Linked DNA regions of Pelodiscus sinensis. The protein of the gene in region 1 purifies or fractionates together with the protein of each later gene. This does not show direct contact. Links are inferred from orthologs where the notes say so. Each region holds a gene or a part of one and is shown in the gene's direction. Other genes may lie near its edges. The genes, in order: PLK1, ANKRD52, ANKRD28 and ERCC6L.

Region 1 (6,838 bases):
AGTCCGCGGTATATGGCCCCCGTCCTCCCTCACTCCCCCGGGCCCCCTGACCCCCCTTCACTCCTCCTGTGTCCCCCTCTCCCCGTGTCCCCCGGTGCCACCCGGCCCCCGCCACTCCCAGGCCCCACCCTCGCCGCTCCGCACCCCTGCCTCTCTCTCCCTGGCGGGGGGGCGGCAGGTGTCGGCCCCGGGCACCTCCCCCTGCGGGCGGATTGGCTGGCGGCCGCACCCCGCGGCGGGCGCTATAAAGCAGCGGGCGCGGGCGGCTCCCGGCACTCCCTGGCGGCGGGCGGCCCGGGGACAGGGCGCTGCATGGCGCCCAGCCTGGCGCCCGAGGCCCGGGTGCGCCTGGTGTTCTTCGGGGCGGCGGGCGTGGGCAAGACGGCCCTGATCCGCCGCTTCCTGCAGGACGCGTTCGAGGCGCGGCACCGGCGCACGGTGGAGGAGCTGCACCTGCTGGAGCTGGAACTGGAGCCGGGCTCGGGGCTGAGCCTCCGCTTGGAGATCCTGGACACGAGCGGCAGCTACAGCTTCCCGGCCATGCGGCGCCTCTGCATCGGCCGCGGCGACGCCTTCGCCCTGGTCTACTCGCTGCAGGAGCCCGACTCCTTCGCCGAGGTGCAGCGGCTGCGGGACGAGATCCTGGAGGCCCGGCGGGGCCCGGTGCCCATCGTGGTGGTGGGGAACAAGAGCGACCTGGCGCCGGGCCAGCCGGACTCGCGCGTGGCCGTCGCGCAGCGGGACTGGGGCTGCACCTGCCTGGAGGCCTCGGCCAAGCAGGGGCGCAACGTGCTCAGCCTCTTCCAGGAGCTGCTGAGCCAGGTCAACCTGCCCGGGCGCCTCAGCCCGGCCCTGCGGCGCCGCCGGCCCCAGCCCTTCGGCAAGGAGCCGCCCCGCCGCGGCGCCAAGAGCCACAGCTGCGCCGTCTGCTAGGGCCCGGGGCCGGGCGGGATCGGGTCCCCGACAGCCGCCTGGCTGGAGCGACGCGTTCCGGAGCGTTCCCCGACGCCAGCGGTCGCTGACGGCCCCAGAAGCCGGGCACGGAGCGGACTCTGCTCCCCCTGTACCGCCGCCTGGACGGGGGTCCGTGCCTGCCTCTCTTGCCCGCCAGCCGCGGCTGGCTCAGGGCGGCTCTCCAGGGTGGGGGCTCCAGGCACCGGGAGGCGGAGAGTTGCGGGAGCAGCGAGCAGGGAGAGCGCACGGACGGTGACCAGCCACTCGCTTCCCGTGTGCTGGGTTCAGAGGGCGGGGGAAGCCTCAAAGCGCAGCCTCCTGGCTCCAGTTAGCTTGGACCCGAGCTCTGGGGCGGTTTCCAGCTGGCATGGTAGGATGAGCTCTCATGCTCCGTGCAGGCCGGTCCCACCTCCGCCATGGCTTCCCCTCCAACAATGTGAGGTCTCAGCAGTCAGCAGCCAGAATCCCTTCCCTGGGACACCTGCCCCTTCTATTCTGTAGGGGCCTGACCTGCAGGGTCCCCTGTGATGCTGGCACCTGGGCGCTGAGCTTCTACTACACAAATCAAGCAGCCCAGCTGCTCCACCTCTGGTCCTGCAGTCAGTCCCACCACCCACCTCCCTCCAAGGAAAGGGCTGTGCCTTTGCCCGTGGGCACAGGCCGGTGAGCTGCAGCTCTGAAGCTGGCCAGGGATCCCACAAGGGACAGAACAGGGCTTAATTTGCAAGGCAGGTGCTGCTGGGGCTCATGCAGTTTCTTCACACCAGGACCGAGCCCAGAGGCACTGGCGATGCAAACAGCCTGGGACGCGGCCCAGGCCTCCATTATGCACTGCAGTGGGGACCGTCCTGGTCAGGGAGCCCCTCTGGGGGAGAAGCCAAATGACCCCCCCTGCAGCGCATGTTTCCCAAAGCAGCATCTCCTGAAGGAGACAAGGGTGGAGTGACAGCACCTCTGAGTGTGGGGGAGCAGGAACCTGTCACTAAAAACAGGCAGACCTGACAGCACGGGGCTGGGTAAGTCCAGCCCATGCTTCTTGCCATGGCTCAGGGGTGATGGTATCTTAGTTAACAGGCTCCCTAGGACTCCCTCATGCTGGACTAGCAGCAGGCTAGAAGTCTCTCCAGCTGTGGTGGGAGGGTGTGGAAAGGAAATAAGGGGGGGGGGGGGATAGCAGGTGTATTGTAGAACCTACCCCCACCCAAACAGTGCTTCATACTGTAATGTGACCCAGATGTGCATGAAGGTACTTGCTTCCTTCTGTAGTTCCATGACCATTCTAGCTCCCTGTAATGAAACCCATGGACCTGTTCCCCACATGATTTAAGTGCCTGGGTCCTGTGGGGGCAGGCAGAGCCCTATTCAGGCTCCAGGAGTGCTGCTATCTAGTCTGCTTCCCATATGCCTAGGATGAGGAACCTTTTCTTGGAGCAGGGGCCACTGACCTACAGAAAAATCAGTCGGGCAGCATGCAAGTGAGAGGCTGAACCGGGGGAGGGAGGAGGAGCACTGAGCCGTGGAGGCCAGACACAGGCAAGCTGCCTAGGAGGCCACTGCAGTGGCAGCGCCAAGCTCAGTGCTATGTGAGGGTTTCTCATGCTACGGAGGGGTAACCTTGGCCTGACTTGGGCCTTCTCAAAACAGAGGGCTCCTATTGCTTGTTGGGCTTATGTGGCTGCCTGGCATTACAGTATGTGACTTTCCCACAGAGAAGTCCCTGACACATCTTGCTCTTGGGGTAAATTCTGCTTGGAATAGGCTTGTTTGGTTACGAGTTTGCTTAATTTCCATTAACTGCACAACTGTCACAAAATAAAAACAAACCTCACACGAGGCGAGTGAGCAAGCAAACTTGTTTTCATGTCAGTCTTACTGGAAACTTCATCTGTATCACCTGGCCCAAATGAATTATTTGCTCCTCCAATGAATTTGTTTGTGCTTGTATCAGATCAGTTTTTAATCCATTTGATTAACATTTGGACCTTTAATGCTTCAACAAACACACCATTAATAGAAGTTGTGGCACCAGGTTAGGTTATTTCATCCATCAGGTCTAATAGCCCCCTTCAACAGAAGCTAATGCCTGGGACTTAAAGAAATGGCGTGGGAGAGTTGTTGAACCAAACTGTAGGTCCCATATATAACAGAAACCACTTCAAGTCAGGTAATGTGCTTCCCCCCAGCACCTATGGCTCAGCAGGCAGAGGGGGAAAAAGAATCATTCAGAAAATGACTTACTGGGATTTGGCTGGTCCCTTGTGGCTGTCAGGCTGTGCCGGGGGCCCTGATGCAAGCGAATGTTTGCTCTTCCCTAGCAGTGACCTGTCCACCGATCAGTGCCTGGGGGTGCCAGTTCCTACACTGCATGAAGCAGCGAGTGCAAAGCCTGGGTCTAGGCCTGCAACACTGAGGAAGCTGTGAAAGTGCAACAGGGGAAGGGGAGGTTGTTCTAGTGGCACATCTGGGAGAGGGTAGCTGGTTGCTGTGCATTGGGCAGCATGGCTGGGGCTAGAGCTACACATGTGGGTAGGGTGGCACATCTGGGGCAGGAGGGGGTGGCTGGGTTACAGTTGCACATCTGGGGCAGAGAGCTGGAGCTAGACCTACATCTCAGGTGTGGGGGGCAGGGACTAGAGCTGCACATCTGGGGCAGGATGGCTGGGGCAAGGATTGCACCTGTGGGGCAGGGGCCTGCACAGCGGGGCGGATGTTGCAGGGCGAGCCCGGATGTTCCGGCGACGCCCCCTGCTCGCGGCTGCCCGCTCGCGGAGCCCGGGGCTGCTGTCCCTTTAAACGGGGCGGGGGGGCTCCCATGGTGCCTAGCGGCGGGCGGCTTGGATTTTAAATCGTAGCAGCCAATGGGGAGCGCGCTGGGCGCGGCTAACGCTCCGGCTCGAGGTTTGAAATTGTTACAGTGTCGCGGCGGCCGGCGGCGAGAGCGGGGCTAAGGGCGGGAGCATGAGCGCGGTGTCCGGGAAGGGGGCGAAGCCGCCGGGGGCGGCCGAGCCCGGGAAGGGGGCCGCGGCCGGGCCCGGGCCCGGGGCGACGGCGGTGGCCAAGGAGATCCCGAAGGTGCTGGTGGATCCCCGCACCCGCCGCAGCTACATGCGCGGGCGCTTCCTGGGCAAGGGCGGCTTCGCCAAGTGCTACGAGATCACGGAGCTGGAGGGCCAGGAGGTGTTCGCCGGCAAGATCGTGCCCAAGTCGCTGCTGGTGAAGCCGCACCAGAAGGAGAAGATGTCCATGGAGATCTCCATCCACCGCAGCCTGGCGCACCGCCACGTGGTGGGCTTCCAGGGCTTCTTCGAGGACAGCGACTTCGTCTTCGTGGTGCTGGAGCTGTGCCGCCGGCGGGTGAGGGGCGGCCGGGGGGGGACGGGACGCGGGGCCGCCGGCGGGTGAGGGGCGGCCGGGGGGGGACGGGACGCGGGGCCGCCGGCGGGTGAGGGGCGGCCGGGGGGGGACGGGACGCGGGGCCGCCGGCGGGTGAGGGGCGGCCGGGGGGGGACGGGACGCGGGGCCGCCGGCGGGTGAGGGGCGGCCGGGGGGGGACGGGACGCGGGGCCGCCGGCGGGGGAGGGGCGGCCGGGGGGGGGGGGACGGGACGCGGGGCGGCCGGGCCCGTTCCCTTCCTGCAGACGGACGTGGGCCCCGTGGGGCTCAGGCCTGTCCTGCGGCGGGGGCGCTGCCGGCCCGGCGGGGGGGCGGGGGGCTCCCGCAGGGGACGGGGCTGGGGGCGGTAGCGGGGCCGCAGCCGGAAACGCTGATACTGTCTCTGCGTTCCACCGTGTCCGAGCGTTCGAAGCGCCTTAAAGGGCCAGTAGCCCCGCGCAGCGGTGCAGGGTGGGGGGTGCTCCCAAGCCTTCCCGACGTTACTCTCCTCAGTGGAGCTAGGACGGGGGGGTGCCCGCCGCAGAGCGTCCCCAGGCAGCAGGGGCAGGCTCTGGGCTGGGGGTGCTCATCACCCTGCCTCTCTCCTGGCCCCCAGTCGCTGTTGGAGCTGCACAAGCGGAGGAAAGCCTTGACCGAGCCGGAAGCGCGCTACTACCTGCGGCAAACCATCCTGGGCTGCCAGTATCTGCACAGCAACCGGGTCATTCACCGGGACCTCAAGCTGGGCAACCTCTTCCTCAACGACGACATGGAGGTGAAAATAGGTACGGACACCTGCAGCACAGAGCGGGTCCGGGAGCCCGCCCAGCCCCCGCCGCTCGCTGCGGATTCCGGGCCTTGTAAAGTCCCGATCCGAGCACATCCCATGCTTTGGATGGGCCGACTCCGTATTGGAGGGATGTAGCCCATAATTCTGCCACTTGCTGCTCACAGGATGAGACCGACTGTCCACGCACCATTGCCTGAGAACTCTGAGCTAAGGAAACCAGTCTCCCTGGTGCCCGGCCTGGCCCTAGGCAAATATTCTTGTACCTAAATCTTCCCAGGTGACTTTGGCTTGGCAACCAAAGTAGAATATGATGGTGAACGTAAGAAGACGCTGTGTGGGACACCAAACTACATCGCCCCCGAGGTGCTGGGCAAGAAGGGACACAGCTTTGAAGTGGACATCTGGTCCATCGGCTGCATTATGTACGTTCCATGACAAATCTTCAGGTTTTTAGTTTGCATGCCCTTAAATTTGGGACTTAGGGCTGCCATGGTCAGTCCGCTAGACTGGGGTCCGGGTTTTAAGTTAATCTTAGCTTGTGAGGAGCCTCTTAAAGGAGACACTATAAAACAAAAGTGATCAGGTCCAGGCCAGAACCTGGATAAGTGCAGACTAAGGTATGTCTGTGAGAATGGCCCAGCTATGGTGGTGTAGCTGAGCCGCTGTGGTGGTATAGTGCAGATACTTTCTACACTGACTTTCTCCCTCGATGGCATTAATCCACCCCTCAGAAGAGAGGTGCATTAGCTACGTCTGTGGAACAAGTCTTCCACTGTCCTAGCTGTGTCTATACAGACACTTTTCACTACCCTGTAGACTTGGCCTAAGGCTTGAATTGCCCTGAGATGTAGCTATGTGCTGGTCTCTAGTGAGAACAATATTTGAAGAGTTCTTGCTAGAACACTGCTAGCTTGGTTCAAATCTATATGGCTGTAAATGGGTCTTAAAGGTTACAATTTAAAAAGTGGTTTGCAAATTAGGCTGCCCTAGCAAGACTCCTAATGGCAGTGACCAAGGGCTAGAGATGGGTGATGAGTCTCAGCTTCCTTCATGACTCGTTTGCTTTGTAATCAGAGCTTGACTATCTCTGGAAAACTCCTCAGATCTGACTATCAGAACAATGTTCCTGTTTGCCTTGACCTGCCAGCTGCTGTGTGTGCACCTACCTGTACCCACAACCACTGGCTTTTGCAGGCTTACTTCTTGTAGTGAAAGTTATTTTGAATCCTGTCCATTTAAAGACCTGATGTCCCGAGTTTCACCGGTTCTCTCTCCCAAGGGTACCAGATTCCAGCTGCCTCCCCTAAGGAGCAGGGAACTGGAGATCTACCTGGCATTTCAAATACAATTGCCTGCTGCCCTGCATCTCCTGGGTGTCTCATCCCCCTGCTGCAAATGATCCTTCATGTGGAAATCGTGTGCTCTCCTTGTGACAGGCTCTTATGTATCTTAAATATGCAGGTACACACTTCTGGTAGGGAAACCACCCTTTGAAACCTCTTGTCTAAAAGAAACCTACATCCGAATTAAGAAGAATGAGTACAACATCCCCAAGGTATGGAGCCTGCTGCAGAGCGGGAGTTAGTCTTGCCAGCCAATAGAGCTAAGACTGCTTGTGCTTAGAGTGCACTTAACTTGGGAGTGAGCCCATTGGACTCACTGGCACTTCTGTTTTTGAGAAAACAAGCATAGAACGGGGTTCCGTGGGAAAGCTGAGTTAAT
Region 2 (6,941 bases), on another chromosome or scaffold:
CCTGCCTATGCCTGTGTTGCAGCCATGAACAGAACCCAGGAGTCCTGACTCCTAGATCGATGGGCTAAGCCAGTGCTGGTCAAGATGCATCCCGGGGACCGGAGCCAGCCCACCTAACACTTTGATCCAGCCTGCAGACTGCATCTGGCCAGATTCTATTTATATCCTGCTGCCCGGGCCACTGAATTTCCAGGCAGTGGCTCAGGCAGCAGGATTGTATTTAAAGGGCTCACGACTGCCAGTCGTGGTGCTTCCCCAGCAGGGGCTGGAGCTGTGAGCCCTTTAAATCGCCACAGCAACCCAGCACAGGGCAGCCAGCTCTTTAATTCAAAGCTTCCAGCCCCAGACAACTCTGGAGGGAGGCTAGCCCCATGCTCTGCCCCTTCCACTCCAGGCCCTGCCGGCCCATGACCACCTACCAAAATTCATTAAGTGGCCCCCTTGCAAAAATTATTGCCCACCTCTGGGCTAAGCAATATATCCTGGGACTGATTAGCAGTTAGTGTCTAAACAGTTCCAGATGTCCTTCTATTTTCATTCTCACCACCATTCCCTTTTGACCTTGGAATCTATGAATCATCTAATTCCATCTTCTTTTGGGGAAGCCAGTTACCGAATGTTGCTCAAACCCCAGCTATCAGAGAATTGGACTAGGAATCCCCTCCTTTTGCTTCCTTTGTGGGCAAAGAGAGAAGAAAAAGAGAGGCTACACTACAAATGACTGGAGTAGTCCTCCAGATGCACCAGGCTGCTGATCTTGTGATGCCAGGGAAGGTTTAGTCCGACTGCTTCCTCCTTCGGGGAAATATGTCACTGGTGAAAATGTCAACAGCTGCTCTTCATGGCTTTTCAGTGCTATGATTTCACCTTGATTTCACTGGTAGGTAACACTTGGCTAATGGTCCAAAACCATGATAAAAATAGCCCAGCTACAGTATCAACAGTACAAACAGCTTCCCGGCTCCTCCTCTGAGCTCAGTTCAACCGGAGATCAAAAGTAGAGCCCCAAGTGGTGCTGCCCCACCAGCCCCCCAGACTATGTCCCCACCACGCTCCATGGCAGTCAATGTAAATATGTCTGTGGATGTTGTTTCAAAACACAGAGGCAGCTATTCAAAGCGGCGCCCTCAAATAGCGACAGAGAGGGCAATTAGAAACGCCTTGCCACAGCAGAAAATGGTTATTCAGCTCCTCTGGTTGCACCGATCACTTGTTTCTTTAAACAGGACTTTTTCTTTGAGGCGCTCCCAAAACTTGCCCCAACAAGCACCAGGGTGGCAGCTTTTGGAAGCTCTCCTGAACTGTAGCTGCCTAGTAGAGACTACAGGTCCCTACATCTACAAGGCCCGCTGAAATGTCCCAGGATCAATTGGTAAAGATTTGTGAGCCACTTTTGGGGCCTTTTGTCTGGCAGGTTTCACTTGCCTATGAGGTCGCTATTAGAGTCATTCAGCAATGGTTATCTGGGGTCCACAGAGCACCACTTTGTTGTTATGATTTGTTACTTGTTAAGCAAAGACAATATGCTAGGTGCTCTGGTATAGGGATGTGAAGAATAGTTGACTAGTCCTTCCCCATCCTCCTTGCTGCCTCTATCTAGCCAAACCTGGCAGCCTTGGGACAAAGGAAGGATAAGGGGGGCCCAAAATGTAGGGAGGTCAGAGGCAGCAAAGAAGAGGGGGTACTTCAAAGCAGCAGCACCTCTTGAAGCCTGGTGCCAGGCTCCACACAGCACTGCCCCTTTGAAACACCACATGCAGCCTGGGGCCAGCTGCAGTGTCCCCAGGCTGCATGCAGAGTTTCAAAGGGGCAGCACCACATGGAACCCAGGATCAACTGGGGACTCCCCTGACGATCCTGGGCTCTGTGCAGCGCTGCCATGTTAAAACACCATGGGGAGCCCAGTGTCAGGCAGCACTGCATGGAGCCCAGGATCAAGCCCAGCCGACCCCAGGCTCCACATGGCACCTTTGCCTTTGAAGTGTAGCAACAACCCTAGGGCATCGATTAGTCAATATTTAACATCCTTATCCTTACTCTGGTATCAAAACAATCCTTGGTCTGAAGAACCTACAACCTACAATATAACATCCCAATCCTGAAAACATCTACTACCAAGCGCAATGCGTACTTCCATAAATAGATCCTTTGAATTCATAGATGGAAGCATTTACACCTGGGAGTGAGTTTTAAAGGATCAGGACCTAAAAGACTGGCACAGAAATGAGAACTGTTTAATAGTTAATTTCTTGTGTACATGGTGAAACCAGGAGATTTTAGGAAGGCACCTGAAGAAAGAGATCTGAATTCTGCACTACACAGTCATGACGGTCTCTTCTGGCCTTGACGTCTATGAGAGTCACTTCACTGGGCACCCCTCTGTTTCAGCTTCCTAAAATCAGAGAGTCAAGTCCATGTAAAACTCGGACCTCCTGATTTCCAGATGAGAGGGATAGCCACAAAGGACCAAACTTTCCACTCTGAGGTCCGGTCTCTACTCGACAATATGATTAGTATAGCTACATTTGTTAGGAGCGTAAAAAAAATCATACCCCAACCGATAGGCCTGGATTGGCAAAAGATCTAGTGTAGACACAGTTTTAGCGGCAACAAAAATATTTGGCAAGTCTTAACGATTCCATTGGGCGAACAGAATGAAAAACCGTTTTGCTGGAATCGCTGTCTCCACTAGGGGGATTACCATTGTGTCCGTACCAGCAAACCCTTTGTAAACAAGGCCTGAGAGGCAGCTTGGTCTGTGCTAGGAGTGTTCTCTGGAAAACGTGCACTTGTGCGGCTGCTTAGGAGAAATTCCAATGTTACCCAGCTGATTAGTAGAGCGCCCATAGCTAGACTTTTTGTTGCTACTGGTGGTGCACATCCCTCAGTGCACATCAAAAAATTATTCCACACAGGGTGGGAAAAAATCCACACATGGATGGAAAAGATTAGAGGTAATCTTTTATTGTGAATACTAGATACTTTTTATTGTGAATACTAGATACAAGTCAGTGGATTCTCAGATAGAAGTGCAAAGAATGAATGTAATAATTTGATCAGCTTTTAATTCTTATTTATTACAGGGGCTACCAACCCATCCCACTTGGAAGCCATCAGGAAATGGTGGTAGATCCCTGTGGTTATAGCAATTGACCAGACGTGTAGGTAGGGCTGTTCCTCACCTCTTGCCACAGGCTTTGGGGGGACACTGAGGCACCTAACTTGCCCAAGTTTCTCTATTGTTTTGCTCACCCGTCTCAGCTGAGACCCAACCATGTGGGGTGGATGGACTGGGTTTGAGGGAAGCTCACAGGCCCACGTGCAAAATGGACTTACCTGGATTGCCCCTGTTGAGGCGATGGCAAAGTTCAGGAGAAGTGATGCACCCCAGGGCAAAAAGGGGGTGCCAGGTTGTCCAGGGGGTCCAGGCTGCAGGGTCCAGGCACTGCTGGCAGGGGTGGCCCTAAGTGACCCTCCTCTGTCAGAGAGGATCTCTTTGAGGCCCTGGCACCTAGCCCAGCACCTCTTGGGCCCCAGATCCACTGCAGAGCTCCATGGGTCCCAGGTCACCCCCCCTGGAGACTCACACATCTCGCCCCCCCCCCCCCGGGATCCATGGGGCCTGGCCCCCCCTCTCGGGGATCCATGGGAGCCGGCCCCCCCTCAGGGATCCATGGGGCCTGCCCCCCCCCCTCCGGGATCCATGGGGCATGGCCCCCCCCTCCGGGATCCATGGGAGCCGGCCCCCCCCTCTCAGGGATCCATGGGAGCCGGCCCCCCCCTCTCAGGGATCCATGGGGCCCGCCCCCCCCTTCTCGGGGATCCATGGGGCCGGCCCCCCCCCCGGGGATCCATGGGGCCTGGCCCCCCCCTCTCGGGGATCCATGGGACCTGCCCCCCCCCCCCGGCTCCAGGGCCCCGCCCCGCGCGGGCGGGCTGGCCGCGGGCCGGCAGGGGTCGCTGCGCTCGGGCCCGGTGGGCGGGCTCAGTCCCTCCCCGCCCCGCAGCCGGAGCCGCCGCGGCCGGAGCCTGATGCCGGGAGCTCGGCGCTGAGGCCCGGAGATGGGGATCCTCAGCATCGCGGACCAGGTACCCCCCCCCCGGCCGCGCGGCCTGGCCCCCCCCCCCCCCCGCCGGGCGCCGCCCCAAGGCCCGGCCCCGCCGCGCGCTGCCTCCTTCCCGCCCTCGGGCCCGGCCCCCCCGCCCGGCCCCCGGGCCCCCCCGCCAGTCCCTGGGTCTCCCCGCCCCCCTGCAACCCCCGCTCCCCATCAGGTCTCCCCGGGCCCCCCCCGCCCTCCGGTCTCGTCGCCTTCCTGCCCCCCCCCGCCGGGTCCCCCCACCCGGCCTCCGTGCCCACCCCGCTCCGCCCCCCTGCAACCCTCGCCCCCCATCGGGTCCCCCCGCCCCCCCGCCTGACCCCCGGGCCCCCTCGCCCCCCCTCGCCTGACCCCCGGGCCCCCTCGCCCCCCGGTTCCCCCGCCTCCCCCGCCGGGTCCCCCCGCCTGACCCCCGGGTCTCCCCGCCCGGCCCCCGGCCTCCGTGCCCCCCCCCGCTCCACCCCCCGGGTCCCCTCGCCCGCCCCCCGCCGGTCCCTGGGTCCCCCCGGCCTCCCTGCCCCCCCGCCTGACCCCCGGGTCTTCCCGCCCCCCCCCCCCGCCTGCCCTCTCTTCCTGATCCCCGGGTCCCTCTGGCCTCTCTGCCCCCCCGCCCCCCCAGTCTCTGCCCCCCTCGGCTTCTCTGCCCCTCCCCGTCTGACCCCCGGGTCCCCACCCACCCCCCGGCCTCTCTGCTCCCGCCATCCACTCCTCGCCCCTCCTCCCGCCTGCCCCCAGGACCCCCCTCTGCCCCGCTTCCGTCCCTCCCCCATCTTTTGCTCCTTGCCGACCTGCTGCCCCATTTCCCCGCACCAGCTCCGCCCCGCTGGGCCTGCCTGCATCTCCCCCCCCCATCGGTGTCTCCCCATCTTCTCCCTGCCACCTGGCCCTCCTGTGCCCATCTCCTTCCTGACCCCGTCTCCACCAGCCCCCCCACATCCAACCTTTTTAACCCGCAACCTCCCCAAAAAATGTCCTGGACAGGATTTGAGTCTCCCCGCCTTTATTCCTGCCTGCTCCCTCTGCACCCCACTCTCCCCTTCTTTCAGCCTCCCTCTGGAGAGAGGGGGGGTTGATTTGGCATCATCCACAGTGGGCACCCCACTTTCACAAGTTAAAGGGCAATTCATCTCACCCCCCACACACTTGTGTTATTTGGGGAGTGGGGTAGCATGCCCTGCCGTTTCCCTGCGTGCTGGCAGGCATTTTGCATGTCCCCTGTTGTCTGGGGTGGGGATGTGTGATTCAGCATCCCTACAAACACGGGTCTTGAGCCCCATTTTCCTTGGGGGCAGATGTGAGGCCTGTTTGCACACCACTTGGCTTGTGGGACAACACCCAGCTCAGCAGGGCTGCCTGATCTCAGTAGGTACCCCCACTCCCCAAAAGGGGTGTGTGTGTGTGTGAGGAAGAGCGACTGTTGCGGCTTCCATCACCACGCACCATTTCCTTTAGAAATAGGGATGTTAAAATGGTTAACCGGTTAAATGCTAGCGCTTCACCGGTGAACCATTTTAACTTGGAGTCTGGCCCTGCAGCGGCTATGGGGCCCAGCCGGCTGGTCTCTCTGCTATGGGGGCTGCTTTAGCCACCCCTGGGGGTCACCAGCAAGGGTGGATCAGCTGGTTAACATGTAAGCATATCAGAAAGCCTCATGCTTACCAGTTCACTGTGTCACAGCCCTTCTTAAAAAGGTCAGGTTTCAACCATCTCTGCTTTTGCAAGAAGCGGGACTTTTATTTCCCTCTCCCTGCAGTGTATATACTTCATCTTCCTAAGGCAGGATATGTTGATGCATCATTGTTCTTTGCTTCTCTCCTGGCTTGTCCTCCAATCCCCCTCCCCTGGCCTACCAACATCTAATCTTTACCCCCTGATTTGATGTGACAGGTTTGTTTTTGAGAGCCAGGCTTCTGACTCTTTGAAGCCAAATATTTACCCCTCCCTTGGTCCCTTGCTGTTGCAATCTCACTGATAGGCCAGGTTTTTAAAGCCTCACGTGTCAGGGAGAGAAGGAAAAGGGGAGCTGACCTAAGATTTAAATAGAATTTTTTTTTTTGGGTAACCAAAACATGCAGCTTCCCTTGTGAATGGTAGGTGGGTGTGTCCGTCCCAGCATTGCCGGCAAGCGCCACTGAGGTCTGTGCAGGGCATAATTATCGGCTGTGCATCCTTTTTTGTTTTTGAAATGCCTCATGCTGGTACTAAGTCCGCTGCATTCCACGCAAATGACTCGCTCCTTCTCTCTGATCCCCCCCACCTGTAGCTGCTTTCATGCCTGCGTTTGGACGGAGGGGATGAGCGGGAAGCTGGGGAGCAGGGGCGGGAAGTCTGCCCTGGAAATGCAAGTTCCAGGTTCCGGCTACTGAGCAGATGCCGTGGGGGCTTGTGGTCTCCAGTGCTTGGTGCAGAGAGCTGACTTACTGGGCTGCCTTGAGCCGAGGGTGTTTGTTTTCAGTCCTGGCCCCAGCGCACTTGTTTCTGTACAGACGGAAAGGCCCAGGATAAACAATGGCGGGTAGTCTGGGCCTGGCAGAGAGGTGCAGGGTAGCTGCCAAAGCGTGGGGCTGCCTCTGCTGATGCAGGTGTGTTATGCCTGTGCCGTCAGAACCAAAGATGCCAGTTGGGATTCTGACTTCCCCTGAAGTCCATTGTCCAGGGTACAGCTCCTGTTAACTGTGTGGTCTCAGCCTCCAGGAGCAGAGAGGTGGGGACGGAGGGTGATGCTAGGGACAGACCTGGAGTCCGAGTGCATAAATAACTGTTTGTCCTTCAAGATCCATTTTAGGCCACCAGGAAGTTCAGTGTCGGCATTTTCTGGCTAAAGCCAAGTCTTACGGCAACTAA
Region 3 (7,865 bases), on another chromosome or scaffold:
AATGCCTTTCAGTGCATATTGTATCTTGAGAAATTTGCTGACATATGGAAATCTTTATTACATGTAATAATTTTATTGTTGATATTTTCTGTCTCTTCCCTTGTTCTTCAAGAACATCTGTAGGAAATGTACCTGAGCCTTGTTCTTTAAACCTCAGTCTTCCTGCATTCTATGGACAGCACTCACTTCTCCCAAGTAAACAGATTAGTGAAACGCCTAAAGCTTGCCAGAACATAAAATCGTTCCTTTTAGTCAAATGTCCTTAGTTGTGACTTGTTCAAAAATCACCCTGGGCACTCTGGTGCTTCTCTTGCACATGTTGCAGCAAACCTGGCTGCACTTTCTGCAGGCTGCCATCTAGGAGGTCCATCGGGGGGCTGTCAATATCCAGGAGGTGCAGGAGAGCTTCCACTCTGAGGAGCACTGAGAGCCTTCCTGCCATGTCCCACTGGGGGCTTGTGCCTCATTCCTCCCCCATGTCCTTCCATTTACCCCTCCCTAGCCCCCCTTCCTGATGTCAAATAAAATACACGTATTTTCAAAAATTTAAACTCTGTTTACTTAACAAAACTGGGAGGGGGTATGAAATTCTGGGGAGACTAGGGAAAGGAGAGGGGAGGAGAGATGGTGGGAGAGGGGAGGGGAAAACCTAGGAGGAAGGAGCTGGAAGGGGGAAGCTCAAGGGTGGGGGAGGGGGGATCTTGCCAGGCCAACTGTCTTCTAGCACTACAGGGGCTTCGGTGTCCCTGGGGGGATGGGGATGAGGGTGTAAAGGTTGAGGTGGGGGATGTGGAGATTGAGGAGGAGGGAGTAGAGGTTGAGGTGGGAGGAGGAGCAGGCACTGGGGAGGCAGCAGGCGCTGAAGCGACATGAGGCAGCACACTCTGCACCAGGGTCTGCAGATGGGCACAGATGGCATGACCCTGGGCAGGCAGCTCCGGCCAAAACTCCTGTTCATCCTGCAACCACTGCTCCATGGTACAGTGCAGGGCTCGCAGGGCCCTCAGGTGCTGGTCTCGGTACCCCTGCAGTGTTGCAGTGGACCTGCTGAGCCCTCGGGTGCGGGAGGATGTCCCGAGCAGGGTGGTGCACCCTGCACGTGCAGCTGGTGTGGCTGTGGAGAAAGAGGAGAAGTGGTCAGTTCTTCCTGTGGACATAGTGGGTGATTCCCAGCCCCCCTCTGCGAGGTGAGGATGACCGTGCCCTGTACCGTCAGAGCCACTGTGCTTGTACAGAGGCCATAGTCGGAATGTCCGGCTATCCCTGGGAATGGGAGCTGCCCTGAGACCGCACCCATGCCCCTGTGTTGTGTATAGTGCGGCCGAGGTGGGGGGGGAGGTGTCCCCTACCTCTGTGTAGAGGGGGCTTGTGAAGGGAGGGTGTCCTGCTGTGTCCCGCCCTGGGGTCAGGAGCATGTCAGGTCTCTTCACACGTGTGAGGCTATCAGCCATGGCCCCTGTGTGGCACACAGCTGGAGCCACCTACCCATGGTTGGCACAGCACGTGCTCGCACGTACCTAGTTTGCTGCATGATTCGTGGTAAGCAAGGCCCACACGTGATCCTTGGTCGGCCCCCACCCCCCGCCCCGTAAGGGGACAGTGATGGTACTTACATGGTGTGGCCTCCCTGGATGACTCTGGTGACTCTGCTGCTGTGACAACTCGGGGGTCCAGCCAGCGTGGCACCCTCCGTGGTATCTCCTCTGGTCCTGGCTTGCTGCCCCCTAGTGTGGCACACACCATCCCGCCGCCCCATGATACGGTTCAGGGCGTCGAAGTAGGGGCAGGTGTTTGCCCCTGCTGAGGAGCTGCCTTGAGTTGCCCTCACGAATGCCTGCCACAGCTCCTTGATCTACATACACACCTGTTCTTGTGTGCACATGTGGCCTTTGGTGGCCATGGTGCCAGCTATGCATCTGTAGACAGAGGCGTTCCTCCGTCTAGTGCGGAGTTCATGGACATTGGAGGCCTCCCCCCAAATCTCAATGATGTTCATGATCTCTGCACTAGTCCAGGAGGGCGCCTGCCGTCTCTGGCCCCTGGCTGGCTCCTGGGAGCTGAGGGACTGGGCGGGGGACATCTGGCTGGCACTGGCTGCCTGGCTCATTCTCTGGCCACTGGGTGAGGGTCAGTGACTGCTGGCAGGCCTGGCTCTGGCATACAGCGTGGCCAGAGTCTACCCCTTTAAGGGCTCCGGGCCTGGGGTAAAGGAGAAGAGTTTTCCTGGTTTGGCCCAAAGTGTCCACCAGGGGAAACTGGGAAGGGCTGGAGGCCCCCTATTTCGGAATAAGCGTCTACACAGTGCTTATTTCGAAGTGGCTATTTCAGATTTGGTGTTATTCCTCGTAGAATGTGGTTTACCAAATTCAAAATAAGCTCCCCGCTACTTTGATTTTATTTCGAAATATCGGTTTGGCTGTGTAGACGCTAGGAAAGTTAATTCAAAATAATGGCTGTAGTTTCAAATTAACTTTGATGTGTAGACATACCCTCTGAGGCAGCAGTGCGGGGTGCCAAGTGGGAGCCAGTTTAAAAACCGGCTGCCTGCTGCCCTGCGTTGCCCTCTCTAATACAGAGACAGCAGTTCGGGGTGGCAGCAGCCTCTGTTCATGGCGCTCCAAGTTCCCGCAGACAGAGGCTGCTGGGGGGAGGGAAGGGCGCAGGGGAAGGCTGCAGTCTGAGCTCCCCATGGACACAGGCTGTTGCTGGGGAGCTCGGACCCCCTGAGGACAGAGGTTGCTTTGTGACGGCCTCCTCTGTCTCTCCCTCTCCCTTCCCCCTGCTGTTGCCTTTGATAGGTGGCACCATGGAACCAATGCTGGAGAGAGATGGCTTTTAAGCAGCTCCTGCTCTCTTCTCCCACCCTGCCTCTGATACAGGGGCAGTAAGGGGAGGGGGAGGGGAAATGCATGTAGTCAACAAGATTAACTTAGAATCATAGAATCACAGAGCTGGAAGAGACCTCAGAAGGTCATCAAGTCCTGCCCCCTGCTCTAGGCAGAACCAATTCCAACTAAATCAACCCGGCCAGGGCTTTGTCAAGCTGAGACTTAAACACCTCTAGGGATGGAGACTCTACTACTTCCCTAGGTAACCCATTCCAGTGCTTCACCACCCTCCTAGTGAAATAGTTTTTTCTAATATCCAACCTGGACCTCTCCCACCACAACTTGAGGCCATTGCTCCTTGTTCTGCCATCTGTCACTACTGAGAACAGCCTCTCTCCATCCTCTTTGGAACCTCCCTTCAGGAAGTTGAAGGCTGCTATCAAATCCCCCCTCACTCTTCGCTTCTGCAGACTAAACAGACCCAACTCCCTCAGCCTCTCCTCATGAGTCATATGCTCCAGCCCCCTAATCATTTTGGTTGCCCTCCGCTGGACCCTCACCAAAGCCGAATAAAGGGGAATGATGACATCTCTGGATCTGTTGGCAATGCTCCTCTTAATGCAACCTAATATGCCATTAGCCTTCTTGGCTACAAGGGCACACTGTTGACTCATATCCAGCTTCTCATCCACTGTAACCCCCACGTCCTTTTCTGCAGAACTACTACTTAACCGGTTGGTCCCCAGCTTGTAACTATGCTTGAACCCCAGCTTGTAACTATACTTAAACCTAGGCTTATCAGTTAATCATATAGTCGCCTACAGGTTGACCTCCCTAGTGGGCATATGATTTCAAAATGTCTACAGTGCTTTGGAATGACAGTGCTGATGGGAATCAGTTATTCCTACTTAACCTTTTGAAAAAAATACATCTATTAGTATCCAAAGCAGTAAAAACAGATACCTTCTGTGGGTTGTGGTGGTGTGTGGTTGGTGGGTTTTTTTCGTGTGTGGTGGTTTTTTTGTAGTCATGTCCTGAACTGGTACATAGAAGTTCAGAATAAGAACACTTTAATAAAAAAGCATCAGATCAGAACAAAAGAATGAAAGTAATGGGCGGACTAGTAATTCATGTAACCCAGAATCCTGCTTTTGATGGTGACCAATGCCAGATGTTTTAAATGGAGTGAATAGAAGAGAGAAATCACAAAGTGCTCTGTCTCTTGTCATCCAGTCCCTGTATCTGGTGGGCAGTCCTTTGAGACACCCAGAACATGTTTCATCCCTGACCCTTTTGGCTAATAGTCATTGATGGATCTGTCCTCCGGGATCTTACTTAGTTCCTTTTTGAGCCTAGTTATTTTTCGCTTTTGCAATATCTCCCCTGCATTGAGTTCCACAGGTTGGCTCTACATTCATTGTGTGAAATACTTCCTTATGTTTTAAACCTGCTGCTTATTAAGAACCTGGAGTTAGTGTGCACCGGCAGCTGGATTTTCATCAGTTACATGGTTACCCAATTACCTGCTTTTTAACATCCCTATTTTCCAAAGTGCATTACTTTGCAGTTTTCAATATCAAATTTCATCTGTGGGTTTTTTGATCAGTCACCTAGATTATTCAACCTGTTCTACTTTTATAATCTGAATTGTTCAGCAATCAATAGCCATCAAAAAACTTTATATTGTTTATGAACAAAAAACAGTTTGCTTAATGCAGATATATTTCCAACAGTTTATGGCATATGATGCAGTTGTATAATACTCCCACAGACCAGCATGGTTACTGTAAGCAAATTCAAATCAAAATATAAATTCAGCTTGTTGGAAGACTGTGAAATTAATGAGCGCTATGGTATGCTTGGTTTCATTTTTCAGACTTATAGATTTTGTGTGTGTTTAGTAGAAAAAGTAATATTTACATTTATCTTTAAAGTACTGACCATTGAAAGCTAGTTTTATATCTCAGTTTTTAGAGGGGATTTCTGTTTTAAAATACTTTTTTTTGTCTTCAGAGTAAAATAATTGCCTGGTTGTTCTGTACAGTAACATGTGAAAGTAGTTAGAATGTTGGAATTGTTTACTTGCTTAATTGTCAGTCAGCAGAGCCAGTATACCAGATTTTTTTGTGGCTTTTAGTGGAAAATGTTAAACACTCATTCTTTCTTCAATTATAGAATTTTTACGTATGAGCTGGATTAGTCACAAAACTGGCACAAGCATTCTGACTGTGAGGGCTTCCCAAAAGGCACTGTTTGTTTGTTTATTTTTTTGCTAGAGGAAGTTGCATCCAGAGCAGTAGCTTAGTTCTCTGGTAAGTGTAACATGTGAGCATTACCGGCATTTCATCCTGCTGGTCTGCAGTCTGTGCTCTTTAGACTATTGCTCAGTTTGAATGCTGCTTTGAGTGTGAACTGTGCGCTGTTAACGTGTTCTGTAATGACCAATTCAGACAGTGGGATTTCAGAGCTTTACAGGACTATCTACTGAATGAATATACAATCTGAAAATCAGCAACAGAAAACTGATATCTAGTAGTGAAATCCGGTTGGCACAGACATTTGCATGAAGTTGGCTCAGAGAAGATGCACAGAATCTCGTTTTTTTCCACAGTCTGAATGAAGACTATAACGGAAGCTGTATTCACTTGGTGATCAAAAGAAACACTTGAATGATGAACTGCTGTTGCAGGAGAAGTCTAAGGCAGTAATTCGAGCACTTGGAGCTTTTGGTTACTTCAGCAAAACAAGCAAGCTTTCTTCCTTAACAGCATTTCTGCATAGTGGGTCCCTTTTGGAGCAGCTACAGCAACTGCCTGATGGAGGAAAAATGAATGCTCTGCATTACTTGTTTCACTGATGGAGTAAAACTATCTGTTTCTGTCACTTGGAAAATCTGGATTAAACAGGCAATATTATAATTCCAGAAGTCTCATTGTCCTTTTTGGTCTGACTCATCGCATGTAAATGTACTGCAGCTCTGCTGTACATTGCAGAGATTTTTATTACATCGGGAAGAATTATCAACCTTGGAATATCATGTTATGAATCATTGCTGAAAAATAGATGTATTTTTGTGTGAAGTATTCCTGACATTACGGAAAATGAAGCTCCAAAATTGCAGAATAAGAACCTGATACATTTAGTACAGTGATGTTTTATTTTCAATCATCAGAAAGCCTAGTACAGTAAATTGAAGACTGACCTTGTAAGACTCACTGTAGCTGTGATTGTCTCTGTCAGAGCAATTGTTCCTTGTTTCACGCTATACAGAATGGTGTCCTGTCATCTACAACAATGATTTCACTGTGTGGATAAATTTATTCTTTAGCAATATTAACAAAGGCAGATTTTCTGGTAAAAGGACATGCTATAGATATTTATTATATTGAAATTTCTACTATAATCTAGTTAGAACTAAGAATATTTTTAGTAGTTTTTTTCATAAATTTGGTATTGTAGCACAGGCGAAATCTTGTCTTTAAAAAATATAAATGTATGTATATTTAAAACAGTCTTGTTTGAACATCTCAGGGTGTTAAATTAAATGTAGTGGGGGGGGGGGGAAGCATTTTTAAAGTTTTAAAATACCAGCAACAGTGTTAAGTTATGTTTGAGACTATATACTCAGGAGGTAAAAGTCCTTTCTGTGCTGTCTCAGCTGTGGTTACTACAGTGTGGTTCTGAATACAATTTTTTCAAACGGATCGAATGAGTCGAGTGTGTATAGTTGTTTTGGAGGAGGTTGAAGATGATTTTCCCACATTTTCTTCAAAATTACCTCAGGAAATCATATCTGTACGCTCTTCATCTTCCAGAAATGTTTTGGTAAGATATGTTTTCTGTAATAGTGTTGCAAAATCTAGTAATTCTTGTTATAGGTTTTACATGACTAAGCATCGTAGCACCTGGGGTTTTTATATGTTGATTGAATAGTTTTGATTAGTGAAGTTAAAACTACCTATATTAAGCAGCAAGATATTTTAAAATTTAGAAATGGATTTAAAACTTGTAAGGGCTCCTTTATGCATAACAGTATTTTTGAAGGTTAGTTTTATGATGGTACGTTTTTTCCGGAGAGTCTGACAAAAATATTTGCAATAAACATTTTCTCTCCTACCTCTTAGTAGTGTATCTGTTCAGTACCTCTTTAGAAACTGATGTAACCTTTATAATGTGGTAAGCTGTGTGTATTTTGAGAATTGGTATAGTATCTAGGGTATCTTAAGCAATATCAGTTGCACACTAAAATAAAAAGTTATGAAAAGCAGATTATAGATGTAATGTAGTTGTGCATTCACGTCATCACTTATAAAAAGTGTTGAAGAAATTTGGTTTCTTAAACAAAATTATTTTGCTTTCTTGACTAACTTACTGTTTGACTTAGATCATGATATCATATCACAAAAGTTTATGTTGCTGATTAGGAAGTCTAGTTATATTTAGTAATGCCTGTGTGCACACTTGCATGTCACCATATCATTTAAATGTACTCTGTTTCCTTACTCTTATCCAAACACATGAGAACTTCTAATGTTACTAATTAATGTAAAATGAGTATTACATATATTCTGAATAGTATGTAATGTATCCTAGACTGACTAATCTTATTTTGCCACAAGGATTTATTTTAAAGTTTTTTTTAAACGATTAGTTTAAAATCTAAAAATATAGAAAACTATATTTTTAATCCAGTGGTTTACAAGATGGTACAAGATGGTAAAGTGTATTGGAGTGTGGGGGAGAGAAAGACGTACTTTCTGCCAAATTTTGCTGTATTTCAATAGTTAATTTTTAAATTTTGCTACCCAGGATGACATCTTAGTATTCATTTGGTCCATTATGTTGTCATAACTATCCCCTCTCTCCTCCACCTCCCCCCTCCCCCCCCCCCCCCAACATACAGTGGCAGTAATGCATGGGACTGGAATGTTTGTTTTTGAATATTACTACTTTCTTTTGTTTCAGCCACCACTGGTTCAAGCCATATTTAATGGGGACCCTGATGAAGTTCGCGCATTAATATTTAAGAAGGAAGAT
Region 4 (7,707 bases), on another chromosome or scaffold:
GTGGACTTGCTAGTTCGAACTAGTTTTTAGTTCTAGATGCGTTAGTTCGAACTAGCTTAGTTCGAATTAACTAATTCGAACTAAGTTAATTCGAACTAGCGCTGTAGTGTAGACATACCCTCAGTGTTCTTTCAGAAATTCAAGCGGCCAGGGTAGACAGCTGGCAAGTTTTCCGCTAAAGCAGGTGCTTTGGCGGAAAAACTTGCCAGTCTAGACACAGCCATCGGGTAAATTAGAGTAAATGTCAGCACAGAACACTGAGAGCCAGGACTGGTGGCTGTAAACAAACTTTCTGGGACCACTGGAAACTTGGCCACACTCAGGATAAGTGGACATCCAGCTTTAGGCTTTCCAATATGGCTACAGAAAAAGTCCATTTCCTTACAACGTGGGCTCAGCTGTTCAAACTCCAGACAGCCCTGGTGATGACTCGTGGAAATATTTGCAGTGATTACGGAATAGAAACACTGCTATGCGCTACCCAGAGAGTTCTGACACATTATTCCCAGGTTCAGTCATAAAATCATCTCTGTGTTATTTAAATAAGTATGAAGGAGTGAAACTAGTTGTTGTCATTCCAGGTTCCTGGAAACACCAATCCCCAACAGTGTTTTTTATTATATAAGAACATGTAAAAGGTGAAAGAGTGGGCAGGTCGGGGCTTAGCAACCACTCATCCAGAGCTCCACTCCACTCTCTGTGGGTGCTGCTTTTCCTGCTGCTGCCTCAGCTCCTGCTCCCTGAATTTCCTTTCCTTAAGCTGCTGCCTCTCTTTCTGCAGCCAGGACTTCTCCGGGTCTTTGGGCCTGTGCTCAGAGAGTGCTGTGCTGGGAATAAGCGGCAGATTTGTAATATCTATTGGAACAGCTTCCTGAGGAATTCTCCAGGCAACTGGAATTTGTACTTCGAGTGACTATCTTTCCCAAACACGTACTCTAAAACAGCCTCTAGTTGTGGGATGGGGGCCGACAGAGGGATTTTCTATGTGTTATGTAAAAGGACAAACTAGATGACTACAGTGGTCCCTCCTGGAATTAAAAATAATCAGCTATCTTGGTCTGTTTCTCTAGCAATTTTGTAATTAGCCAAAAACCTCAAAGTGCCCCTGCAACAAACAAACAAACAAACAAACAAACTACAAAGTTTTGCCGTTGGCTTCTGCCCTGATCCACAAGAGTTTACTCTCTTCCAAACCACCATTTGATTGTTTGGGACCCTCCCCACGCCAGCTTTGGATAGTTGTGCTAGGCAACACTGTCTTGGACACTGCTCAGCTCTTAGGCTGTGTCCAGACTCCATGCCTCCTTCGACGGAGGCATGTAGATTAGCCACATCGGAAGAGGGAAATGAAGCCGCGATTAAAATAATCGCGGCTTCATTTAAATTTAAATGGCTGCCCCGATCTGCCGATCAGCTGTTTGTCGGCAGATCGGGAGAGTCTGGACGCGATGCCCCGACAAAGAAGCCTTTCTTCATCGACACAGGTAAACCTGGTTTCACGAGGCTTACCTGTGTCGATGAAGAAAGGCTTCTTTGTCGGGGCATCGCGTCCAGACTCTCCCGATCTGCCGACAAACAGCTGATCGGCAGATCGGGGCAGCCATTTAAATTTAAATGAAGCCGCGATTATTTTAATCGCGGCTTCATTTCCCTCTTCCGATGTGGCTAATCTACATGCCTCCGTCGAAGGAGGCATGTAGTCTAGACACACCCTTAGTCTCAGTGGCACGGTCAGTGCTACTGCTGGTCCCCGGCTGAGTGTGCATTCCGGATGGAGCTGCATCCTGCATGTCGAGGGATCCCAATGAGAGTTACACAGCACATTGTCTTAGGAAGATAAGCTGGAGGGAAGCCCCATGGTGTGACAGATGGCGATGTGCTGGCAGAAGTGGACAGTCAGAGGGGCTGGCCTGAAATAAATCATCCACATGCCATTGGGATGAGGGGGACAATTCATGGTCACTGGTTTGTGCCAGTGAGGAAGTCATGGCTTGGTGGAACTGTGAGATCACAAGAAGTTCTCCCTTCCCATGTCCCCCTCGAGCCCCTGCCCCCAGTTGCTTATTAGTGGCCAGCAGGACACTAAGGTCGCAGATACTCAGTAGATAGGTTTGCCCTTGCTGGAGAAGCAGAGCAGTTGTAACTGGCCGTGAATTGTCACTGAACCCTGAAGCCATATTGCACTACTCCACGTCACTGGCTTGTGATCACCTCGCCATTCACACCATGCTGGTGAGAAATGGCAGTGCAGTCCACTGCAGACTGACTCAGGCCCATGAGGGGAGTGATCCAAGAGAGCCCTGACAGGCAGCTTACTCACAAAACAAGGTTCTTCCACAGCGACCAGTCACCAAACAACCACAGGGTGTGTCTAGCCTGCTGCCGCGTTCTGTCAACAGTAAATCGAAAGAACGTGGCAGTTTTTTCTACCGTGGAAAACCTCGTTTTATGAGGAAGAACACCTTTTTTCAAAAGTGCTCTTTGTAGTCTAGACGCTGAAAGTACTGGTTGTAGTCTGGGCGCTCTTTTTCGAAAGAGGCTTTTTCGAAAGTAGCTTCTGAAAAAACCTCTTTCGAAAGAGGCTTGCAGTCTAGATGTAGCCCCAATGGGGCTGTGTTAGTGACTGCAGATGTACAAACGGAGGAGATAGCTCTGGCACCGAGAGCACGGGCCAGAGCACGGCAGCTAGGTGCCTGCTGATGCTACACTGATCCGAGACAGGGACACACACGCACGCACGTGCGCCTCACCACCAGGCCCTGAAGTTTTTCACTGTCCTGCTGGAAATGTGACAACAGTTGTGGACAGTTAGGTGTTCATGTTGCCAGAGTGAGGGGTTGATAGTGTGGACTAGAGCCAGTGGGATGTACCACCAGAGATGCTGCTCCGTGCACCTGAATCTTGGCCCCATAGCAGCCCTGTAAGTGCAGAGTTGGGCTCCCAAAAAAACTCTACCCTGCCCTCTGTCCTGGGATACAAGCAGTGTGTATGTCCTCCAAACTGCTGTCAGGGCAAATGCTCTCGGCTGTGTCTAGACTGGCAAGATTTAAACTTGCCAGCTGTCTACACTGGCCGCTTGAATTTCCACAAGAACACTGACTTCCTACTGTCTGAAATCAGTGCTTCTTGCGGAAATACTATGCTGCTCCCGTTCGGGCAAAAGTCTTTTTGCACAAAGCTTTTGCGCAAAAGGGCCAGTGTAGACAGCTCAGATTTGTTTTGCGCAAAAAAGCCCCAATCGCGAAAATGGCAATTGGGGCTTTTGTGTGGAAAAGCGCGTCTAGATTGGCCATGGACGCTTTTCCGCAAAAAGTGCTTTTGCGGAAAAGCATCAGTGCCAATCTAGACGCTCTTTTTCGCAAATGCTTTTAACAGAAAACTTTTCCGTTAAAAGCATTTGCGGAAAATCGTTCCAATCTAGACGTAGCCCTCCAGAGCCAAGCACTCCCTGCTGTGTCCATTTTGGCCCTGGGACATGATGTACCAGGCCTCCTCTGCCCCTGCTGGAAGCCTCACTGCCCTGACACTCCCACCCAAAGATATTCCCAGGGAGGGTTCGCTTTCGCTGGGCCTGTGTGTTTCCTCAGTAGCACAATGGATGTGACCAGATGCATCTTTCCTGAGAACATCTCAGAGAAACTGCGGGAGGCATTGGCATATTCTGGCAAAACGTTAGTGGATCTGTGTGTTGAGAACAATGTGTGTGGGTGGGGAGGTACAGCAAAGGCGAATAATAGGCCTCCAGCCTGCATCTTCTGATGAGTTTGCTGCGTCTCTGAGAGAGGGTACATGGGTCACAGAATTGGATGATTTCCCTTTGGGTGACTGAGACTGCGAATCCCTAAAGCAGGATCCTACCTGTCTGTGCGGCCAGACACAGGCCAAGGATCCCAGCAGGGCTTTAGGGGAGAATCAGCTGGGAAGCTGAGCAGTAAATGAGCCCAAGGATGAGTGTAACAGGTGTGGAGAGGGCTCATTGCGTGGGGGGGATTATTTAAATGCCACACATGGCAGCCTAGCCCCTTCCTCTCAGGTACAGTCAGCTGCTTCCTTCCCCTGCCCAGGCGGTGACCCTGCTTCCCACCCTGTCCCTATGCCCTCTGCTCCCACCAGTGCACCCCTCCCCCCCCCCCCACTACTGCCAGGCTCTCCCCCCCCCCCACTACCGCCAGGCTCTCCCCCCCCCACTACTGCCAGGCTCTCCCCCCCCCCACTACCGCCAGGCTCTCCCCCCCCCCACTACTGCCAGGCTCTCCCCCCCCCACTACTGCCATACTCTCTCCTGCCCCCATTGGCCCTGTGCTCTCCCCCCCCCCCCACTACCACCAGGCTCTCCCCACCCCCATTGGCCCCGTGCTCCCCCCCCCCCACTACTGCCATGCTCCCCCCTGCCCCCATTGGCCCCGTGCTCCCCCCCCCCACTACCGCCATGCTCTCCCCTGCCCCCATTGGCCCCGTGCTCCCCCCCCCACTACTGCCATGCTCTCCCCTGCCCCCATTGGCCCCGTGCTCCCCCCCCCCACTACCGCCATGCTCTCCCCTGCCCCCATTGGCCCCGTGCTCCCCCCCCCCCACTACCGCCATGCTCTCCCCTGCCCCCATTGGCCCCGTGCTCTCTCCTCCCATCCCGTGACTCTTCCGCCTTGCCGCAGCTGAGAAGCGCCGATTGGCTGATGGGCCCGGCTCTCATTTGCATGCTGCGGGTGATAGGCTGAGGGGCGGCCCCGCGCGGGGCAGGTCGGGAAGGCGGCGGGCATTTCAAGCGGCGGCCGGCGGGCAGCGCGCTATGGCGCAGTTAGAGAGCGGGCCCCCGCAGCGCGCCATGGCGGGGCGCTACGCCGGGTGAGGGGGGGCTCTGCTCCGCGGGGGGGGCCTCTACGCCGGGTGAGGGGGGGCTCTGCTCCGCGGGGGGGGCCTCTACGCCGGGTGAGGGGGGCTCTGCTCCGCGGGGGGGGCCTCTACGCCGGGTGAGGGGGGGCTCTGCTCCGCGGGGGGGGGCCCTCTACGCCGGGTGAGGGGGGGCTCTGCTCCGCGGGGGGGGGGCCCTCTACGCCGGGTGAGGGGGGGCTCTGCTCCGCGGGGGGGGGGCCCTCTACGCCGGGTGAGGGGGGGCTCTGCTCCGCGGGGGGGGGGGCCTCTACGCCTGGTGAGGGGGGGCTCTACTCCGTGCGGGGGGGCCCTCTACGCCGGGTGAGGGGGGGCTCTGCTCCGCGGGGGGGGCCTCTACGCCGGGTGAGGGGGGGCTCTGCTCCGCGGGGGGGCCTCTACGCCGGGTGAGGGGGGGCTCTGCTCCGCGGGGGGGGCCTCTACGCCGGGTGAGGGGGGGCTCTGCTCCGCGGGGGGGTTCGGGGGGGCTCTGCTCCGCGGGGGGGTTCGGGGGGGGCTCTACGCCGGGTGAGGGGGGGCTCTGCTCCGCGCGGGGGTTCGGGGGGGCTCTACGCCGGGTGAGGGGGGGCTCTGCTCCGCGGGGGGGCCTCTACGCCGGGTGAGGGGGGGCTCTGCTCCGCGGGGGGGGCCTCTACGCCGGGTGAGGGGGGGGCTCTACGCCGGGTGAGGGGGGGCTCTGCTCCGCGGGGGGGTTCGGGGGGGGCTCTACGCCGGGTGAGGGGGGGCTCTGCTCCGCGGGGGAGTTCGGGGGGGCTCTACGCTGGGTGAGGGGGGGCTCTGCTCCGCGCGGGGGTTCGGGGGGGGGGCTCTACGCCGGGTGAGGGGGGGCTCTGCTCCGCGCGGGGGTTCGGGGGGGCTCTACGCCGGGTGAGGGGGGGCTCTGCTCCGCGGGGGAGTTCGGGGGGGCTCTATGCCGGGTGAGGGGGGCTCTGCTCCGCAGGGGGGTTGGGGGGGCCTCTACACCGGGTGAGGGGGGCTCTGCTCCGCGGGGGGGTTGGGGGGGCCTCTACGCCGGGTGAGGGGGGCTCTGCTCCGTGGGGGGGTTGGGGGGGCCTCTACGCCGGGTGAGGGGGGGGCTCTGCTCCGCGGGGGGGTTCGAGGGGGGGCCTCTACGCCGGGTGAGGGGGGGGCTCTGCTCCGCGGGGGGGGTTCGAGGGGGGGCCTCTACGCGGGGGGGCTCGAGGCGGGGGGGCCTCTACGCCGGGGGAGGGGGGGGGGGTCTCTATGCCGGGGGAGGCCGGGATTCTACGGGGGGGGCTCTGTCGCCTTCTTCCCATTGGACAGGAGGGAAACTGAGGCACGCAGCTGCCACCACCAGAGCCTGGCACGGTGCCCAGTGTCCCTCGCTGCCCCCTGCCCCGGGCTGCGCATGTGGCTCCTAGGGCCCCCCCCCGAGCCAGGCCAGGCCACTTGACTGTGCAGCCCAAAGCCCAGCCCCTTGCGCACACCCTGGGACCCAGTGGGGGTGACCTGGTGGTTGCTGGGTGTGTGTGTGTAAAACACCACCACTACCACCGTTTTTCTTACAGCTGACCCATTCTGTCAGTCGCTCTCCCAGCCAACCCCCCCATGTGAGCTGAAATGCAGGAAATGACAAATTTCAACATCAAATCCAGAAAATGAATAGATAAAATACACCTCTCCTGTGTGGGAACGGAAGAGGAAAACGGGGGGGGGGGGGGGAAGGGCTCTATCGTTAGGGTAACCCTCAAGCTGTTCTTGACCCTGTGTGCTGATCTCTATCTGTGGGCGAGAATTTGCCAGAATGTCAACTTTAAGAAGAACGGTTTTGTTTTTTTAGACATGTCCCCAGCAACCTCTGGGTGAAGTGCCCCCAAATTTGGATCACTGCCTGTATCCTGTGTCCCAACACTAAATTTCAAGGCAATCTAATTACCTGTATAGAGTTTAAAGCAACTAAAACAGTCAAGCTTCTAAACAGAAAGCTGGTTTTTCTCTTAATTATGGCAGAGCTGTTATATGTTGTTTTTAGAAGTTAATATATTTAAACATTGCTGCTTTGTCCTGTGTTCTATAGGTATGTGGCTCAGGCAAAAGAAGAGGCCAGAAAGGGAAATCTGGAAGAGTCGCTTCAATTCTTCAAACTTGCAAATGAAATTGATCCCAGTGAAAAGCTGAGGAACAGAATCAAAAGGCTTGAGGAAACACTTGCAGAGCTGGCACTTGCCACAGAGGAGGAGGATGGGTTTGTGGATGTGTGTAACAGTGGTCTTACCATCTATGGAGAGATGCACAACAAACTTTTTGAACATCAGAGAGAAGGCGTGGCCTTCTTATACAGCCTCTACCGCGATGGAAGGCAGGGGGGCATACTGGCAGATGACATGGGTTTGGGAAAGACTATCCAGATCATTGCATTCCTTTCTGGGATGTTTGATGCTGAACTCGTACAGTTTGTACTGCTGGTCATGCCAACCACCCTTGTTAGCAACTGGAGGAGAGAGTTTGCCAAGTGGACTCCAGGACTGAGGGTGAAAGACTTCCATGGCACCAGCAAGACTGAGCGGAACAGAAACCTAGAGAGAGTCCAAAGAAAGACTGGTGTAGTGATCACAACGTATCAAATGGTGATCTATAACTGGCAGCAACTTTCTAGCTTTAATGAACAAGAATTTGTCTGGGACTACATTATTCTTGATGAAGCCCATAAAATTAAGTCTTCCTCTACAAAAACTACTAAATCTATGTATGCTATTCCTGCAAAAAACCGCATCCTCCTCACAGGGACACCAGTCCAAAATAACCTACGTGAGATGTGGTCCTTGTTTGACTTTGCCTGTCAAGGGTCCCTCCTAGGAA

Evidence for each region.
Region 2: the proteins of PLK1 (region 1) and ANKRD52 purify together in Homo sapiens (affinity purification with mass spectrometry; 3 studies listed by BioGRID and IntAct, with this or other methods). This does not show direct contact. The link is inferred for Pelodiscus sinensis from reciprocal best matches to the Homo sapiens genes PLK1 and ANKRD52.
Region 3: the proteins of PLK1 (region 1) and ANKRD28 purify together in Homo sapiens (affinity purification with mass spectrometry; 6 studies listed by BioGRID and IntAct, with this or other methods). This does not show direct contact. The link is inferred for Pelodiscus sinensis from reciprocal best matches to the Homo sapiens genes PLK1 and ANKRD28.
Region 4: the proteins of PLK1 (region 1) and ERCC6L purify together in Homo sapiens (affinity purification with mass spectrometry; 9 studies listed by BioGRID and IntAct, counting the BioPlex papers as one, with this or other methods). This does not show direct contact. The link is inferred for Pelodiscus sinensis from reciprocal best matches to the Homo sapiens genes PLK1 and ERCC6L.

The regions. Positions count from the first base shown.
Region 1 is NC_134726.1:39,869,426-39,876,263, forward strand, and holds the start of PLK1 (serine/threonine-protein kinase PLK1), read left to right. Parts: upstream 1-3,831; 5' UTR 3,832-3,912; coding exon 3,913-4,308; intron 4,309-4,942; coding exon 4,943-5,111; intron 5,112-5,393; coding exon 5,394-5,538; intron 5,539-6,577; coding exon 6,578-6,671; intron 6,672-6,838. Other genes in the region: ras-related protein Rap-2c-like, read left to right, coding at 313-933. UniProt on the Homo sapiens protein: Serine/threonine-protein kinase that performs several important functions throughout M phase of the cell cycle, including the regulation of centrosome maturation and spindle assembly, the removal of cohesins from chromosome arms, the inactivation of anaphase-promoting complex/cyclosome (APC/C) inhibitors, and the regulation of mitotic exit and cytokinesis.
Region 2 is NC_134729.1:3,913,257-3,920,197, forward strand, and holds the start of ANKRD52 (serine/threonine-protein phosphatase 6 regulatory ankyrin repeat subunit C), read left to right. Parts: upstream 1-3,938; 5' UTR 3,939-4,062; coding exon 4,063-4,089; intron 4,090-6,941. UniProt on the Homo sapiens protein: Putative regulatory subunit of protein phosphatase 6 (PP6) that may be involved in the recognition of phosphoprotein substrates.
Region 3 is NC_134712.1:194,231,210-194,239,074, forward strand, and holds the start of ANKRD28 (serine/threonine-protein phosphatase 6 regulatory ankyrin repeat subunit A), read left to right. Parts: upstream 1-4,857; 5' UTR 4,858-6,033; exon of another isoform or gene 6,034-6,486; 5' UTR 6,487-6,536; coding exon 6,537-6,653; intron 6,654-7,793; coding exon 7,794-7,865. UniProt on the Homo sapiens protein: Regulatory subunit of protein phosphatase 6 (PP6) that may be involved in the recognition of phosphoprotein substrates. Involved in the PP6-mediated dephosphorylation of NFKBIE opposing its degradation in response to TNF-alpha.
Region 4 is NC_134723.1:1,974,569-1,982,275, reverse strand, and holds the start of ERCC6L (DNA excision repair protein ERCC-6-like), read left to right. Parts: upstream 1-4,701; 5' UTR 4,702-4,786; coding exon 4,787-4,842; intron 4,843-6,925; coding exon 6,926-7,707. UniProt on the Homo sapiens protein: DNA helicase that acts as a tension sensor that associates with catenated DNA which is stretched under tension until it is resolved during anaphase. Functions as ATP-dependent DNA translocase. Can promote Holliday junction branch migration (in vitro).